Pelodiscus sinensis: one gene and its partners. The protein of the gene in region 2 purifies or fractionates together with the protein of the main gene of each other region. This does not show direct contact. Links are inferred from orthologs where the notes say so. Each region holds a gene or a part of one and is shown on either strand. Other genes may lie near its edges. The genes, in order: POLR1E, protein POLR1D and CRCP.

Region 1 (5,546 bases), on a different chromosome or scaffold from region 2:
AGAAATAATACAGTGTCTTATTTTCTCTGTACTATCAATTTTCCTTCAGCCATGGGGTACAAAGTGACAGATTGAACACAGGCTATGAGAATAAGAAAAAAATAATTGCTATCAGCACCAGCCGCTCTGCCATATGTATTGGACAAACCAGACTGTCTCTACACAAAAGAAAAAAAAAAAGCAATGGTCCTGCAGCATCTTAGGCACTAACAAAAAATGTAGATGGTGTCTACAAAGTGGGCACAACCCACTTCTTCAGATGTTTCTATTACAGACCAACATGGCTACCCCTCTGAAATTTTTACACAAAAGAATACATGGACACAAATGAGACACCAAGAATGGTAACATACAAAAACCAGTAGGAAAGCACTTTTCCTTCTCTGGGCACACAGTTACAGACTTAAAAGCTGCCACTCTTAAGCAAAAAAAACTTCAAAATCAGACTGCAACATGAAACTGCTGAGCTGGGACTCACATGCAAACTTGACACCATCAGAATGGGTCTGAATAGGGACTGGGAATGGCTTAGCTCAGTACAAAAAGTAATTTTCCCCTTTAGGTATTCTCACCTTCTTATCACTGTTGGAAGGGGGCTACATTCACCCTATTGAATTAGCCTCGTTAACACTTGTCACACTCCCATCCCTGTATGTAGATATCTCCGCCATCTGATTCTTTCGCTTCATGCATCTGACAAAGTGAGCTGCAGCGCTAGTAAATTTGGTAGTCTGTATGCCCTGGAACTCCTTGCTGTTCCTATTCTACATGTTTTGTTAGTTTTTAAGGTGTCACTAGTCTATTTGTTGTTTTTTAAGTTGTACCTGTTCTGTCATTCTTGCCATGAGGTGGTAAGCGGGCAGTCCTAGGAAGGTCTTCAGAAGTAGAGATGTAAAAGTCCATTTAAAATGTTAACTGGCTAAACTATACATTTAAGGTTAAAAGCCAGGTTTCTTCAGCACAGCTGGGCACAGTTAACCCGGTAAGCGTGCTGGTCAGGCAGTGCTTACAGTAAGAATAAGAATGGCCATACTGGGTCAGACCAGCCCCGTCTGCCCACAGTGGCCAATGCCAGATGCCCCCAGAGGGAGGGAACAGAACAGGGAATCATCAAGTGATCCCTCCTCTGTCACCCATTCCTGTTTCTGACAGAGGTTAGGGACACTGTCCCTACCCATCCCGCCTAATAGTCATGACGGCCCTAGCCACCATACATTTATCTAGTTCTATTCTGGAACCTGTTAAAGTCCTGGTCTTCCAGCACATCCTCTGGCAAGGAGTTCCACAAGTTAACTGTGCTCTGCCTGAAGAAAAACTTCCTTTGGTTTGTTTTAAACCTGCTGCCTATTAATTTCATTTGGTGACCCCCAGTTACCGAGGGGGGGGGGCTGCTCAGCTCACCCCTTTACGTCGCTATTTACAAGCCTGCCCCCCCCCCCAGTGGATGCCAGACCCCGCCCGCTCTGCAGGGAGGTGCGTGCACACGCGGGCCCGGCCCAGGTTTCCCCGCGCAGCTGGCGGGGGCGGCGCCAGCTCCGCTCAGCGCCCGGCTCTAGGCGGCGGTCGCGGCTGCGTCTCCAGCCGGCCACGAGGAGCTGCGCCATGGCCGCTGCCGCCAGCTGGAGCTACCGGGGGCACCCCCTGGAGGCGCAGAGCGCCCCGCTCGGTAAGAGCCGCGCCCCGGCCCCCAGCCAGCCTCCCCGCGGGGCGGCTCCCCGTGCGCTCCGGGCTGCGCCTCGCCCCGTGCGCTCCGCCGGGTGCCGCTAGCGGGGGGATGTGAGCCGGGTACCGGGGGGGGGGATGTACCGGGCGCTGCCTGCCCGGGGCTCTCGCCCGCTGCTGCAGCCCAGGCCCCGGGATGTGCCGCGGGCCCCCCGCTGCAGGGCGGCGCGTCCCCAGCAGCGCGTCCCGGCTGTGCCTCGCCAGCAGCGCGCCACTTCGGCGGGCGAGTTTCATCCTTGCTAGCCCCCTCCCCGCCCTGAGCTTGCAGAGCGAGTCCTGGGGGTCTCTCCCCGGGCAGGCTGCAGAGCCGCCCTTGCGAGGGGGAAGCCTGCCCCGTGGAGGTGGCCTGGCCCAGCCGGTAGCGGGGGCCTTGTGCGCACGGGATGGCTGGTACTGCACTGGCCTGGCAAGGGCCGCTGGGCTCCGGTTGCGCAGGCCTGACAACATTTTAACCTGCGGGGAGTCCAAGAAAAAAACCAGCATTTTAGCTGCTTAAAAATGACAAAATAGCCCCCAATGAAAGCCCGCCACAGAGGACTGCAGCTGGAGGTCAGTGTTCTGCGGGGCGGCCGCTGGCCTGCCTTTGCCACCTAGCACAGGGTGGGTTGTGCGTTTAGACCGTGCCGCTAGAAAGCAAAGGAGCATGTGAGTGAGTGATCCCTTTGCAGTCTGCAGCCCCGGGGTGCATGGAACAGTGTATGAATTGTCTCCCAGTGCTGAGGTCCTGTTCAGGGAACTGGCAACATATTTACATTCACCGATCCGGAGGCTAGAAGGGACCACTCTGATCATAGTCTCACCCCTTGTATAGTAGAGGCCAGAGACCTTCCCCAAACTAACTCCTAGAGCAGAGCTTTTGGGTAGAAATAATTCTAGCTGGATTTCAAAATGGTCAGGGATGGAGAAATTGTCTCCTTTTCAGGGTCTGTTTCTGACTGTGTTTGCACAGCTCTAAGCGAGCCCTTCTCTGGGCTGGGGCAAATAGTAGACTTTCAAATCATGGGTCAAAACATCCTTCTTTAGCATCAAGCCTTGCCATCTTAGGGGGCAACTCGCTGACGTCTCAGATGTAGGATGGTAGCAGCCCTCTGTTTGGTCTACAGTCTTGGTACAATAAGCTCTGTCGATGGTTGGACATTGACTGGAATAACCATTTCAGGGTCAATTATTCCACAGTAGATACTCCAGAATAACTTCCTGGGGCCATAAGAACAGTCGTTTTACTCCAGAATCATTAGCTGGTTTCCAATGGGGAGTAATTATTCCAGAATAAAATCATTTGTATTCTGAAATTAACTCTGAGCTCATTCAGGCTCCCCGAAATTCTCATTAAGAGCTAGAGCTGTAAAAGGGTAACAGGATACCTGGTAAGCACAACCCTTATGCTTACTGGTAGCTGGTTAAGTGGCACCCGGCCTGAGTAGCCCCCTGCCTGTGGTGATCCTTTTAACCAGTTAAATGTGTATTTCAACCGGTTAACCTTTTAAACAGCATTTTACATGCCTGTTACAAGTAGCTTCTCTCGGCACTGTTGCCAACATTTTTGTTTTGAACATATAATTATCTGCACTGCTTCAAATGCTTTTCCTTACAAATGTATTACAGTTCAGTTCTCTAACGGGAAACTGCAGAATTCTGAAAACATGGATTTTACTTTGTACAAAAACAATGACGCTACTAATCCCAGAAAGAAACATCAAAGAATCTTGGTAAGTTTGTCTGTCATTGTACCCGAGTTCTACAGTGATATATCAGGTTCCTGGTTATTGCTAGCTATTTGTTTTGGTGAACCAGGATATTTTTGCCAAGAAGTATTGAAATATATGTAAAGGGGCACTATTTGCTACCCTGCCTCTTAACAAGTCATCTGTTATTTTGAAATATTTTTCAAAATAACAGGCGTACTATTTCGGCATCCCTGTACCCTTGTTCCACGAGGTTTAAGGGATGTCTCGAAATAGCACGTTATTTCAAAATTTGGCACTGTCTATATGCACCAAATTTAAAAATAAACCATTTTGAAATAGAATCAAAATAAGATAACAGTTTGCATAGCGCAAATTGCGTATCTTATTTTGTGTACAGTGCTGTGTAGATGCACCCTAGACGCAAAAAAATTATGTATATTTTTATAAGCTGCTACTGTTTACAAGTATAACACCTAAGATTACAAGAAATTAAAGATGCTGTATGGGTGCAGAATGTATCGAGATACAGTGAATAACACATTTTAGAAGTTGTTAAACCTTTTGCTTCAGGTTTTAAGCTATCAAGAGAGCTCGAATGTGGTGGCAGTTTTGTCTCTCATCTGCTATTTTAGACTTCCTCTAAAGTATTTGGCACTGCCCACATTTGCAGACAGATATTGGACTAGATGAATTTTGGGTCTCATCCAAGTTTGTAAATTCCTGTGATCCTGGCGTGAAGGAAAATCTCTGTATTCGGGTTTTGCCTTTGATACCCCTTTCATAGACAGTTATTCACTGGTTCTTTTGTGTAAGGAGATAGGCATGGAGCCCCATTTTCTCCAGTGGGGCTGTTTAAGATTAGGCTGCTATGGAACCGATTGCAGGAACAGGGCTTTAGTTGGACTGTTGGTTTTGGGCCCCGTCAGTGGGTTTGGCTGGACAGGTGTTTAGTGGGCTCCGCCAGCAGTGGAGAGGAAAACATTAAAAATGTGATTGTTAAGCGTCATAAATTAGGAGAGGGATTTAAGTACGATGTAAGCGGGCATAGTAACTGAAACAGTTTTTAACCATCATAAAAAATAAGTAGATTCCAAATTGGTGAAAGTAGCCAATGACCCCTCCATGTGAATTACAATCAAAACACAACCCCCAACCTTTATCCTGCCCACTTTCTGGTATTTTCTGAGACTCTGTCCACGCCTCGACTTTTATTTCCACTCGCGTGGCGGAGAGGCTGTTCTTAGCAGTAGAAATCAGATTGGCTCCAGGAAAGGTGGGAGCACCAGCTTTTCCATTTACACGGCTGCTTACAAGAGTGGGGCAAGAGGGAGGGAGAAGAGCTTTCAGTGAGCCGGCTGTCTGCCAGGAGGACTAGTCTGCATGCTGACACTTGGAACACCTCCCTTCTCTGCAAAGCTTGTGGTCTGGAGTCTGCAATACCACCAGATGTCAGTGTAACCTTTAGGAACAGGGCTGAGTATCCGAGCGTTGAGGGGTATGAAAGGCAGGTTTGGTTTTGTCAGGGCACTCCAAAGAACCTAACATCAGATAGCTGACTGACAATGTATTTCAAGATTTTGAATGCCACTTACTGTAAGGGCTGATGGGTTCAGTAATGCAGTACACCGCAAGTGTGAATTGCCTCGGTTAAATGCAAAATACCATTGCAATGATCTAGTTAAGGTTAGCAAATTAAACACGGTCATGGATCCTGAAGGTAATACTGATTGTTGCATGTTGCACACACTGTCTCTATTAGGCCATGTGGTTAACAGCACCCCTAATACAAAATAGAGCTAGTCTTTGCTAGCGATGTAAGCAACTAGTCAAATACCTGATAAACATGGCTTATCGGGTAGTTGAGTCAACTAGTTCTCCCCCTCTCCCTCTCCCCGCTGCCTCTGATACAGAGGCAGTGGGAGGAGGAGCTGGTGCTTAAAAGCTGGTTTCCCCTAGCACCATCTCTGCAGGGATGGGTGGCAGTGGAGGCAGAGGTGCAGCAGGAAATGGCATGAGCGGGCTCTGAAGCCGTCCCCTGCTTGTGCTGCTCCAGTTGCTGGGCCTCTGCCTTTGAAATGTAGCAAGAGCCCCGGGCGGCTCTTCCTACATTGGAAAGGCAGAGAGCATCCCGCCCTG
Region 2 (5,546 bases):
GAGTGCCGGACAATGGAAGTCCAACCTGTACCTAAAAACAGCTCAAATAAATATTTTAAAAACTCTCTACAAATCCCTAAAATAGCTTTTCTGTAACTGAGGCACATGTAGAAGTTATGATGGTCTAGTTTAGATTTACTACAGCAATTAATGTGGTCACTACATTTTTCCAATAAAATCTTGACACAACGACATATGCTTATTTAGTCTGATATTTCAGACGTGCCATACTAGCTGTTTTTTTAACATCATAGGGGACAAGTGTTTTACTGAAGAATTATGGAGATAAATAGATCATTACATTCTCTTAGGCCCAATTATCACTTCACTTCAGCCAACACAATATTATCTTTGTCTCATCTACGCTATCAGTTGGAGGCAGAAAGGGGAGGCAACAAGTTATTTTTGTAAATGAAACCACAGAGTTAGGACTTTCTAACTGGGTGAGAGATACACTGGAAAAGCAGTGAGAGAAGCTTTCATTGCCGCTATCATTGTTAGACATATTGCTAACAGGTAATCTCACATGAGAATCTGTTACACATGGGTTAGTTGTAGTGTTGACAAGTCATACTGCAGAACTGTTATTTCAGTCATTACTCTCATACAATTCCACAACAAACACCAACAAGATTTACCAATAACGTAAGTGCTTCTGGTCCATTTCCAAACCAGAAAGTAAAACACAGGTCTGTTATGTCTGAATAATCAACTAAATGAACCTGGATTTAAACTGAAAGTTTTTCCTTTTCTTATACCCAAAAGAAAACAATGTAGCACTTGAGGTTTCATCACCTATTAAACCATCTTGTTAGTCTTTAAAGTGCTACATAGTTTTTCCTTTTGTTTTAGCAAGATCAGACTAACACAGCTACCTCTCTATTACTATTCTTTTGGGTATGACATGGGTCAATTTGCGTAGCAGAATGAATGATCTCATTCCAACAGAATGCAAAGTGTCTGTCATTTTATTCTCCCTGAAAGTTGTTACTGTCAATGTAAACACAAGTTTACTATAATAATTACAGTCAGAGATTAGGCTTTGTTTCAATTAACAAAACAGGGCTTATTAATTTTGCAACTTCCACAGTTATCTGGCTGCAGCCGTAACAGGTACTGGCATGCAACCCAAGTTTATTAAAGTGAAAATAGAAAATCGCCTGTTTTTCTTCATTTAATAAGGGTGGGGGGTAATTTAATTTATACAAGTATGCCTTTCCTTAACAAAATAAGGTTTGAAAAAAGTTGAGTTTTTATTTTATTCTGAAGACACCGAGGTTCAGTCTTCCCAGAAGCAAATTCCACAGTCATGGGCCAGGTTTCCAACGAGTCTTCTGAGCGCACTAGTCTCACTTCTAACGTTGGCAATTATATTGTTCCAGGAGATCATAATCAAATCATGGGATTCAGTGAGGCAATGAAGTAATTTGAGCCAATCCTATAGAGGATTTCAGAATTCAACTGGAAGTCAGCAGTATCTTCACTACACCTATTTTTTCTCACCAATAATCTGAGTTCCCTGTGATAAGATACTCTTCTGATTACATCCACTTGGGAATCAGATTACTGTCTTGGGACAGGGGAATGATATTGCAACAGGTAGAGGAAGGGCTCCTATAACTGGAACAGCAGCCTCTGCAATCCTAGAATACTTGCAGTACATGGAATGAGCTAGTCTTAATTTTTTTTTTTTTTTTTGGTAATATACATTGTATGGTTCAACACCAATCTAAGACAGGTAAAAGTAAAATATATTTGATGTAATAGGAATAGAAAACCAATTCTATTTCTCAAACTGAAGTCAAAGGTCTCCTGTGTGTAAGTCTGTGTACTGTAAACTGGGAACCCTGTTCTCCCAAATATTCCAAACCATGATGTCTTGATGTTTAGGTAAGTGAAACCAGAAGCATCCACTTAAATGAAGCCACCCCTTTTTTAAATAAACTTTTATTATATGGCATGTAATGTTATAAAGTGGAAAATTTAAACACTTTCATCAGCACCAATGAACAACAAACAGACAATAAACAATGAACAGACAATAGGATCCACTTCTCTTGTAAAGGCTCTCTAATGGTCCCGAAGCACTACAAATATTACCTGTTGAAGCAGATAATTTATATCATGCCCCACAACAGATCCAGCAGACGGGCTCTAAATCAGGAAGATTAGCTTGGCCTCTGCCAGTCTAAGGAGGGAACCGACATAACTAATGGGCCTCTTACTGAGTCCAGCACTAGCCCTTCCTGGGGCTGCGTCCCCCAGAGGCCTGGCACAAGAGTGATCATCCCACCAGGGAGTTGTCAAGGGGCGCGTACAGAAGTAAACTTTCAAAACTGAAGAGGGATCTGCCTAGATAAGGCGCCCCCCACCCTTCTAACTCTTCATCCCTGCATTGACCTCTGCCCCCATCTCCCGGTGCTGAAGTGGGCCGGGGAAGGGAACAACTGCGCCAGGCAGGCGCGGCAGCTCACAGCGGGCCCTGTCTCGGTGCCCGGGAACACGCGCCCCGGCCTCTCACCTCTCCAGCTCCAGGTCCTCTTCCATGGCGGCGGCAGGAAGAAGGGCGATGCGACGCCGCCCCCGCTAGGCCACCGACACCGGCGCAGTAGTAGCTCAGGTGCAGGCCCGACCCGTTTACTGCTCGCGGCTGAGGACAGGGAGGAGCGAGGGGCGGAGCTGCGGGGCGAGCGCTGCGAGGACCCCGGGAGGGGCGGAGCAAGCCGGAGCTAGAAAGGAAGCGGGCGGCGCGTACTCTTAAGTGCTGCCGCCGCCTCACCCTCCCTGCCCTAGCGGTGCCCGGAACCTCCGCTCCTACAGGAGCGGGCAGCGATTTCGTGTCCCACCCACCCTCCGCCAGACCTAGCTCCTGGTGCTGCCCCAGGTGCTGGAAGTGGGTGCTCGGGTCCCCCGTGGCCTCGCCGACCCCAGTTCTTCCCACTGGGGAGGCGTGAGGAGGCCGCGCTACGCCGGGTGCCCATTGGCTCTGCCCACCCCCTTTGGTGTGTGTTGGTTCCCCTCTGGAGATGTGGAGTAGGCTGGGGATTGCTGCGTGTTTAGGCTCTTCCGCTCCAAACACCGGCGCAGAGGGGTTTGCTGAGTTATGTGTCCCAGAGCGAAATCCCAACAGTTAACTCAAAACCTCCATCCCCAGAGCAGGCGCCTCTCTCTTGCCCCCCAGTCTGTGCACAGTGATGCTACAGAGGCTGCCAGCTGATCACGCGGGTATCCCCACGGGGGGCGGCAGCAGGCTGGTGAGTGGGATTGCAGTGACTCACTTGCCACTGACCAAGCAGTGAGAATGCACCCGATGCATAAACACGATGCAACCGCCGGGCTGTAAAGGGGAATTGCAACTGCGGCTTCGCCTGGCATGTAACCCAGCACACAGGGGCGCCCTGCGAAGAAAGCTAAGCGTAGTTCCCAGCAGCGAGGCCTGTAGCTAGTCGCAGCTCTCTGGGGTAAGGTAGGATGGGGCGACTGCAAAGAGAAACAAGCCCTCCCTTTCAGGTATCTAGCGCTCCTGCTTGTCCTTTCGCTCTCCCCCCTCACTCAGTCCTCTCCCATGCGCTACCTCCCGTTATCAAGCGACCCGCCTCTACGTCTCTCCTGCCCTCACACTCCTTTGCCCCGCTGCCCCAGGGCGCGCCTGCTGGAATCAGGCGAGCGGCGGGGACAGCCCAGCGCCCGACCGTCGTCGCCGGGTCCCGCCCCGGCCCAGCTCCCATAGGCTGCGGTGCTTCCTCCGCTCCCCCTCCCCGGCCCCCGGCTGGCGGCTGAGTGGCTGGGCCGCGCCGTCACTCGGGCCGCGGTGCGGCCCGGCGGAGGAGGCGGCCCGCCCAGGTGAGGCGCGCGGCGAAGTCCTTGCCCGGAGTTGGCCGTTTGACTCTTGCCAGGAGCTCGGCGGTGACAGCGGGAGGCGGAGCTGCCGGGCGGGGGCAGGGAGCCAGCCCCCGGCCGCGGGATGAGCTGGACCCGGGCGCCGTGCTGAGCCGGGGCTGGAGGCGGCGGCAGCCGGTGGGGTGAGTAAGTTCGCTGCTAGGCGCCGCCGTTCCCGGTGGTTCGCCAGGCGCCCCGCTTCTTCTCTGCGGGCTGGCTGGTGCCGACACCTCCACCCCCGTGTGCTCGTGTTAACTGGCAGCTACGCTAGGCTCACCTCAGACCGGGGGAGTAACAGGCTGAGCTCAGGACAACAGAAAGTGAGTGTCCCTCAGATCGGAAGGCAGGGAAACAGTCTCTTCCCCAGCTCTGTTTCGTAAGGGGCTGTGTGCGAGGGAGGGTCCTCGCCCCTCTCTCGGGTACAGGGGACGTTTGGGGGGGGGAGAATGTGTGGAAGGATTGTTGATGATGATGATGATGATGACTACTCTCTCCTCTACGTGGGTACAATTCTCCCAGTCCCCACTCAGTGGCAGATGGGAGGAGGGTGTTGATAGTAATAGCTCCTCACCCATCTCCCATTGTGTTTCCCCTCTCCCTGGAAAACCATTGTGTGTGTATGTATGTATGTATGTTATAGTAGTAGTGCCCTAAGGTTCTAGTCAGGTTTAGGGCCGCATTGTGCAAACACATAAAATGATACAGTACCTGAAATCTGATTTGTTTGGGTGTACTCCTGTCCCCACATAGTACTGTACTAAAAGTACATGCATTTATAGAGGCTAATAATAGGCATACCTGAGAAGTTCTGAATTAGTTTAAAGTTTTCTTCTTTATTTATGTAAAGAAAAGTATCCACAATCTACATTAGTTCTCAATTGAATTAAAGATTGGGTGTGGAAAAATAGTGATTTTTTCCCCCTGCTACTCCCCATAGTTGTCTCAGCCCATTCTCCATGTTAGAAACTAGTAGGTTGGGTGAGTCTGTCCCTTACTGGGAGACAAACTGGGTGAGAAAATACCTTTTATTGGACCAACTGCTGTTGGTGAGAAACTAGAGACAAGCTTCAAGCTTACACAGAGCTCTTTTTTAGGTCTGGGATATTTACTCAGAGTGTTAAGATATGTTTATGGTGATTTTCCTTTGTGTTTCTTCAAATTATGACAGACTGCATATCCCATCACTCTCACTGGGAGATGGTGAATTCCCCCATGTTTCATACCTTTCACAGTGAGAAGATTTAGCTAAATCCTGCATTGCAAGCAGAGGCTGCCTAAATATGTCTGTTGCCCATCAGCTTGACTATGTACACATTCAAATTTTTATTTGAATATAAATAATCCATTATTACCTTTGGGGAAATCAAAACAAAAGCAATAAAACCTACATATTCTGAGGCTAGAAAGAAGCAAAGACAGTGTCATCATTGCAAATGCATAATGAAAGAAGGGAGGTTACCTTGCCTCCTGTTCTTGGCTGTTGCCATTTCTTATGCTGTAGAGAAGTGAGTTTTCTTCCTAGTGCTCCCCTGCAGTACTGAACACACCGAAAGAGGGAAAAAATTGATATTTTCTGTATGAAAGTGCACACTAGGTGTCTTCCAAGAACTACAACAATTCTCTTATCAAACCTGAATTGTCATTATGTGCTAAAGACTGTACTTAAC
Region 3 (5,546 bases), on a different chromosome or scaffold from region 2:
GCTTGTGGCTGAGGCCCTTGCTTGGCTTCAGCTTTGGTCCCGCACCTCCAGTACTGGGGCTATAGCTTTGCACTCTTCACCTCTGCAAAAAGTTGACACACGGCTTTGGTTTAGCAATAGAATGTATTGCAATGTTACAATCATAAGGTGCCAATAATAATTATTTTATAATGAAGGGCTCCCAACAATAAAATAAACAGTATTCTATAAAGAAAAATCTTTTCAGTAATATTTCACGTAGAACTAGGGCTGTGAAAGGTTAACTAGTGAGGTTTACTGGTTACAGTTAACCAGTGGGGGCTGGAGCAGCCCCCCAACTCGCAGCGTGCTTCTCCAGCCCCCCACCGGGGCCTGCCACAGGAGGGAGCTGCTCCAGCCCAGCCAGAACAGCAGGCTCATGCACCCGCAGCAGGGGAAAGGAGATGCTCCAGCTTAGTCACAGGGGTAGAGGGGCCACTTTAGCCCAGCCAGAGTTGCCTTCATTTAATGGTTAAACATAAAGTTTAATTAACAAACTAAATGGGACTTTACATCCCTACTTAGGATTGCAATTAAGGCCATCAATAATTCTCTAAGGCAGTCTAATGCATTACTAAGGCCAGGTCTTCACTAGACCCAGAAGGTTGTCTTAAGGTACACAACTCCAGCTATGTAAATAATGTGGAGTTGGCATACCTTAAGCCAAGCTTGGTGCTGTCTTCACAAAGGGAGTCTGAAGGGAGCAAAGGCTCCTGTTGGCTTCCCTTACTCCTCACAACTGTGTTTCATTATGTTGTTCAGTTTAAAGTCCAGCTAGCCTGGCAAAATATAAACTGCTTGCAAAAAAATCCCAACTCTGAGCAGTTTGTTTGCCACCTATTGGTACCTGAAAAGTTTGGGCTGTTGTGCCCTGGAAGCCCCTGAACTGTAGACTTGAACATAATTTAAAAATCTCATTCTTCACAGAACTACATCCTGCAAACCTTGTGTTTACTGCACATAATCATCTTATTTTTTTAATTGGATGATTTTATTTGTGATTCTTCTATGTCATTATCTCAAGGAATGTCCCCACACCATAGGGGTTTCCTGTGGAGACTGAAAGCAAAGATTCCAAAGAACTGCATTTGCCAAATAAACAAAAGCAATATGGTTTGTAAAATATGAATGAAAACTGGTGTGTGTGTGTGTGAGAGAGTGAGTGAGAGCACTTACTTGCGGAAGTTTCTCTCAATTAAGTTTAGAAGGTCCCTTTAATTTAAAAACAATAATAGAACCCATGAAAGTTTGTAGAAGGCATTAAACTTATTTGAAGGAGATGAATGTGAGAGTTCCATTTAAAAAGTTGGCTGTCTGACACTATATTGTGTCTTTTTTATATGAAGCAACTCAGGCACCATGGGAAAAGTCCTTATTTTGTTTTGTTTGATAACTTTTTGTTGTTGTTACTACTGTCTGTTCAGCATAATGCGTTGCTCTGGTGAGGTATAGTGCTCTTGCCTATTTTTTAAACATAACATTTATTTATGTATTTTAAAATATAATTATAGTATTTTTTCCCAATTAAGAATGTCCTAATTAAGTAAATTTGCATAACTCAGAGCAAACTTGTTTAGCTTAACGATAGTGAATGGCAATTATTTTTTTTGTTGATGGGGATAGAATTATTATACATTTCACTTAATAGGGAAGCATTTGGCAGGTGTTGAGTGATGGGAAACTCTAAACTTCAGTCTGCTAATATGGAACTTTTCAAATAAACATTAAAAGAACACAATAAAGATGAAATTTAATGACTATTATTCTTTCATTTGCGTTCTGTGCAGTATGCTTTTTTTTAATAATCTTGTGTTAAGGGTCCACCTTCAGGGAATTTTTCACTATGATTATTTAGGATGTTAAGCCAGTCCAGGGGCTGTCCCAGTTAAGATGATTCTGTTGTGCAAGTTAAACACTTGATGATACAAATATTCTTACACAAATTAATTAATTGTGTAAGAATATTTGTAATAGCTATGTTTGAAGTTTGTGAAAATAAGTAACTCCTAAAGGCAGCAATAGCTAGGAATTGTAGAGGATTTAACAGAATTAAATCTTGAAGATTTTATTTAAAAAATTCTCAGAATTTACTGAAAAATGTCCGTCTCGTCCCGTCCCGTCCCCCCCCCCCGATCAGTAAAAAAGAGAGAATGGATTTGTGACCGTTTCTTTTGAGACATGCATAATTTTCTGTTTTTCAGGAAAGATGCAAATGCTGCATTGCTGAGTAACCTTGAGGTAAGTTAATTTGCTCCATGATTTTAAACTGACAACTTAACATCATCACAGCGAGTCAAAATATATTCTTTTTGATGTCAATGAAAACATGGACCAGAGCAGATAAAAATGTCTCCAAGAAATCTGGGAGACCTGTTTGTGACTTTTGCTTTTTCACATGTGGATTTCTTTGTTTTTAATTAGCTTGGTAAAATGGGGGCTCTCATCCTGGTTTAAAAGGTGACTTAGAAATGATATTATTGGCACTGTTTGCATGACAAATATGAGCAGGGTTGGATTAGGGATGTAAGCAACTAGTTGACTACCTGATAAGCAAATGCTTATTGGGTAGTTAAGTAGGAACTCGACTAGTTGCTCCCCCCCACACTTGCTGCCTTTATCAGAGGGATGCAGCAAGGGGGCGGGGAGAGCACCGTCTACGTGGGGGGGCAGGAGAAGTAGAAGGCATCGGGGAAATGGCACAAGTGGGGATCGAAACAGTCCCACTCGTTCCGGTTGGACTGCTGCTCCTCTCCATTTGAAACGTACAAGAGCTACCTGCGGATTCCCGCTACTTTTCCCTTTGAAATATAACATTTCAAAGCAAGAGGCTCAACAGGATAGCAAGCACCCCCCTTACTGACTAATCGAATAGAAATTCCATCAACTACTCTATTAGCGAATTAATCGAAATTTAACATCCCTAGCTTGGATCCCAAATCAGTAATAAACCCCCAAATGTTAGAATTGTGTGTGTTCTTAAATCCATGAGAAAATAGTCCTTCAGAACATTTTAATTATCTCTCTCTTCATTCACATGTTTATGTTAATTTTCTGAATATCCTTACTTTGCATGTAGTATTCGTAATCTAGGGTTTGATTCTCCACTCTTTTACACCAGTTTTTCATCTGGGAAACTTCCCTGGTTTCTTTGCAGTTATACTTTTTACTCATCAGGCCCAAAATCTTTAAGTTGTCAACTTTGTATCCATAGAAAGTGATGCCTAAGGCCAGGTCTCCACTAGGGGGGCAAAGTAGAAGTAAGGTTCACAACTCCAGCTATTTGAATAGCATACCTGAAGTCAACATACCTTAGTTCGACTTACCCCATCATCCCTACTGAGGGTGTCGACAGGAGAAACTCTTTCATTGACTTCCCTTACTCTTCATGACCTGGGGGAGTACTCGGGTTGACATGAGCGTGACCGATGGTCCATTTAGTGTACCTTTATTAGAGCCACTAAACTGACCTCTGGGAGATGGTTCTCTGCAGCATTGATCTCCCAGTCAGTGAAGACAAGGCCTAAATGGAAAACCAGTTTTAAGAGAGAGCCAAGAGAATTATACATATAAATCAAAAATGAATACTACAAAAAATAGAAACATGGACAAATTGCTAAGTATGAGTACAGAAGAATAGCACATGCATAGAAGGACAAACTCACAAAGACTAAGAGCCAAAATGCATAATTCGTAGAAGAGGCCATAAATGGCTGTAAAAAGAGGCTCTATAAGTAAAGAGTGAGAGAAAGACGAAGGAAAGTGTAGACCCAGTACTTAGTGGGAAGGGGAGTTAAGAATGGATGCCATTAAGAAAGCTGAGGTGTTAAATGCCTATTTTATTCACTCTTCACTAATAACGTTAATAGTGAATAGCTATTTAACACAGTTAATATTAGCCAGGGGAAAGGTGTGCGAACATTAGGTAAATTAGGTGTATTCAGGTAAGCAGGGCCTGATGAAATTCACCTTAGAATTAGGGAGCTAGATGAAGCAATCATTAGTGATTATCTTTGCGAGCTCATGGCGAACAGGTGAGGTCTCATATCTGGACAGGTACAGAATACTTATCTTTAGAAAGAGGACCCATATAAAGCAATAATATCAATATGTGAAAAGATGCTGGAATCAATTATGTAAGCACTTACTGGATAATGAGGTAATAAATAATAGCCAACATGGATTTGTCAAGAATAGGTTGGTCTGCCATGATTTGATTTCTGTCTTTGAGTTAGTGACCTAGTGGATGGGAAGAAGCTGTAGGCATGATATATATTAGGGTATGTCTATACAGCACACTTATTTCAAAATAAGCTATTCCGGAATAGTTATTCCGAAATAGTTTTTCGAAATAGCACATCTACACTGCAGGGAAGCCTCAAAATTAGTCCAAACTAGGCTTCCCTAATGTAGATGTGCTATTTTGATTTAGAGCCCCTGGAGGCACTGAGGAGGAATAACTTAGAATGGCCTTGGTGAGGAGCTATTTTGAAATAGCAGGAGTGCAGAGTCTCCATATGCTTATTTCAAAATAACTATTTCGGAAAAGGCATTTTTCCTAGAATGAGGTTTGGGACTTCAATCACCCTGACATCTGTTGGGAGACCAATACAGCAGTACACAGGCAATCCAGGAAGTTTTTGGAGAATGTTGTGGGGATAACTTCTTGGTACAAGTGCTGAAGGATCCGAACAGGGGACGTGCGCAGCTTGACCTTCTGCTCACAAACAGGGAGGAACTAATTGGGGAAGTAGAGGTGGGTGACAGCCTCGGAAGCAGTGATCATGACATGGTAGATTTCAGGATCCTGACCAAAGGGAGAAAAGAGAGTAGTAAAATACACACCTTGGATTTCAGAAAAGCAGACTTTGAGTCCCTCAGAGACCTGATGGGCAGAATCCCCTGGAATGCTAACATAAAGGGGAAAGGAGTCCAGGAGAGCTAGCAGTATTTTAAAGAAGCCTTATTGAAGGCACAGAAAGAAACCATTCCAATGTGTAGCAAGAGAAGCAAACATGGTAGGAGACCGGATTGGCTTACAGGGGAAATCCTTGGTGAACTTAAGCACAAAAAGGGAGCTTATAAAAAGAGGAAACTTGGACAAATGACCAGGGAAAGCTATACATGTATAGCTTAAGAATGCCGGAGGGTTATCAGGAAGATGAAAGTGCAATTGGAATTGTGACTGGCAAAGGATGTGAAGGATAACAAGAAAGATTTCTACAGGCATGTTAGCAAGAAGAAGGTGATCAGAGAGGGTGTGGGGCCCCTATAGGATGAAGGAGATAACCTAGTGACAGATGATGTGGGGAAAGCTGAAGTACTCCATGCTTTCTTTGTCTCTGTCTTCACGGACAAGGTCAGCTCCCAGACTAATTCGCTAAGTTACGCAAGATGGGATGAAGATGGACAGCCCTTGGTGGGTAAAGAACAGGTTAGGAACTATTTAGAAAAGCTAAACGTACACAAATCCATGAGTCCGGACTTAATGCATCCGAGGGTACTGAGGAAGTTGGCAAATGTCATTGAGG

The links.
Region 1: the proteins of protein POLR1D (region 2) and POLR1E purify together in Homo sapiens (affinity purification with mass spectrometry; 3 studies listed by BioGRID and IntAct, with this or other methods). This does not show direct contact. The link is inferred for Pelodiscus sinensis from reciprocal best matches to the Homo sapiens genes POLR1D and POLR1E.
Region 3: the proteins of protein POLR1D (region 2) and CRCP purify together in Homo sapiens (affinity purification with mass spectrometry; 5 studies listed by BioGRID and IntAct, with this or other methods). This does not show direct contact. The link is inferred for Pelodiscus sinensis from reciprocal best matches to the Homo sapiens genes POLR1D and CRCP.

What each region holds. Positions count from the first base shown.
Region 1 is NC_134716.1:788,311-793,856, reverse strand, and holds the start of POLR1E (DNA-directed RNA polymerase I subunit RPA49), read left to right. Parts: upstream 1-1,498; 5' UTR 1,499-1,602; coding exon 1,603-1,666; intron 1,667-3,327; coding exon 3,328-3,431; intron 3,432-5,546. UniProt on the Homo sapiens protein: Component of RNA polymerase I (Pol I), a DNA-dependent RNA polymerase which synthesizes ribosomal RNA precursors using the four ribonucleoside triphosphates as substrates.
Region 2 is NC_134711.1:300,349,538-300,355,083, forward strand, and holds the start of protein POLR1D, read right to left. Parts: upstream 2,690-5,546; 5' UTR 2,548-2,689; coding exon 2,522-2,547; intron 1-2,521.
Region 3 is NC_134731.1:20,054,504-20,060,049, reverse strand, and holds the start of CRCP (DNA-directed RNA polymerase III subunit RPC9), read left to right. Parts: upstream 1-2,196; coding exon 2,197-2,256; intron 2,257-5,546. UniProt on the Homo sapiens protein: DNA-dependent RNA polymerase catalyzes the transcription of DNA into RNA using the four ribonucleoside triphosphates as substrates.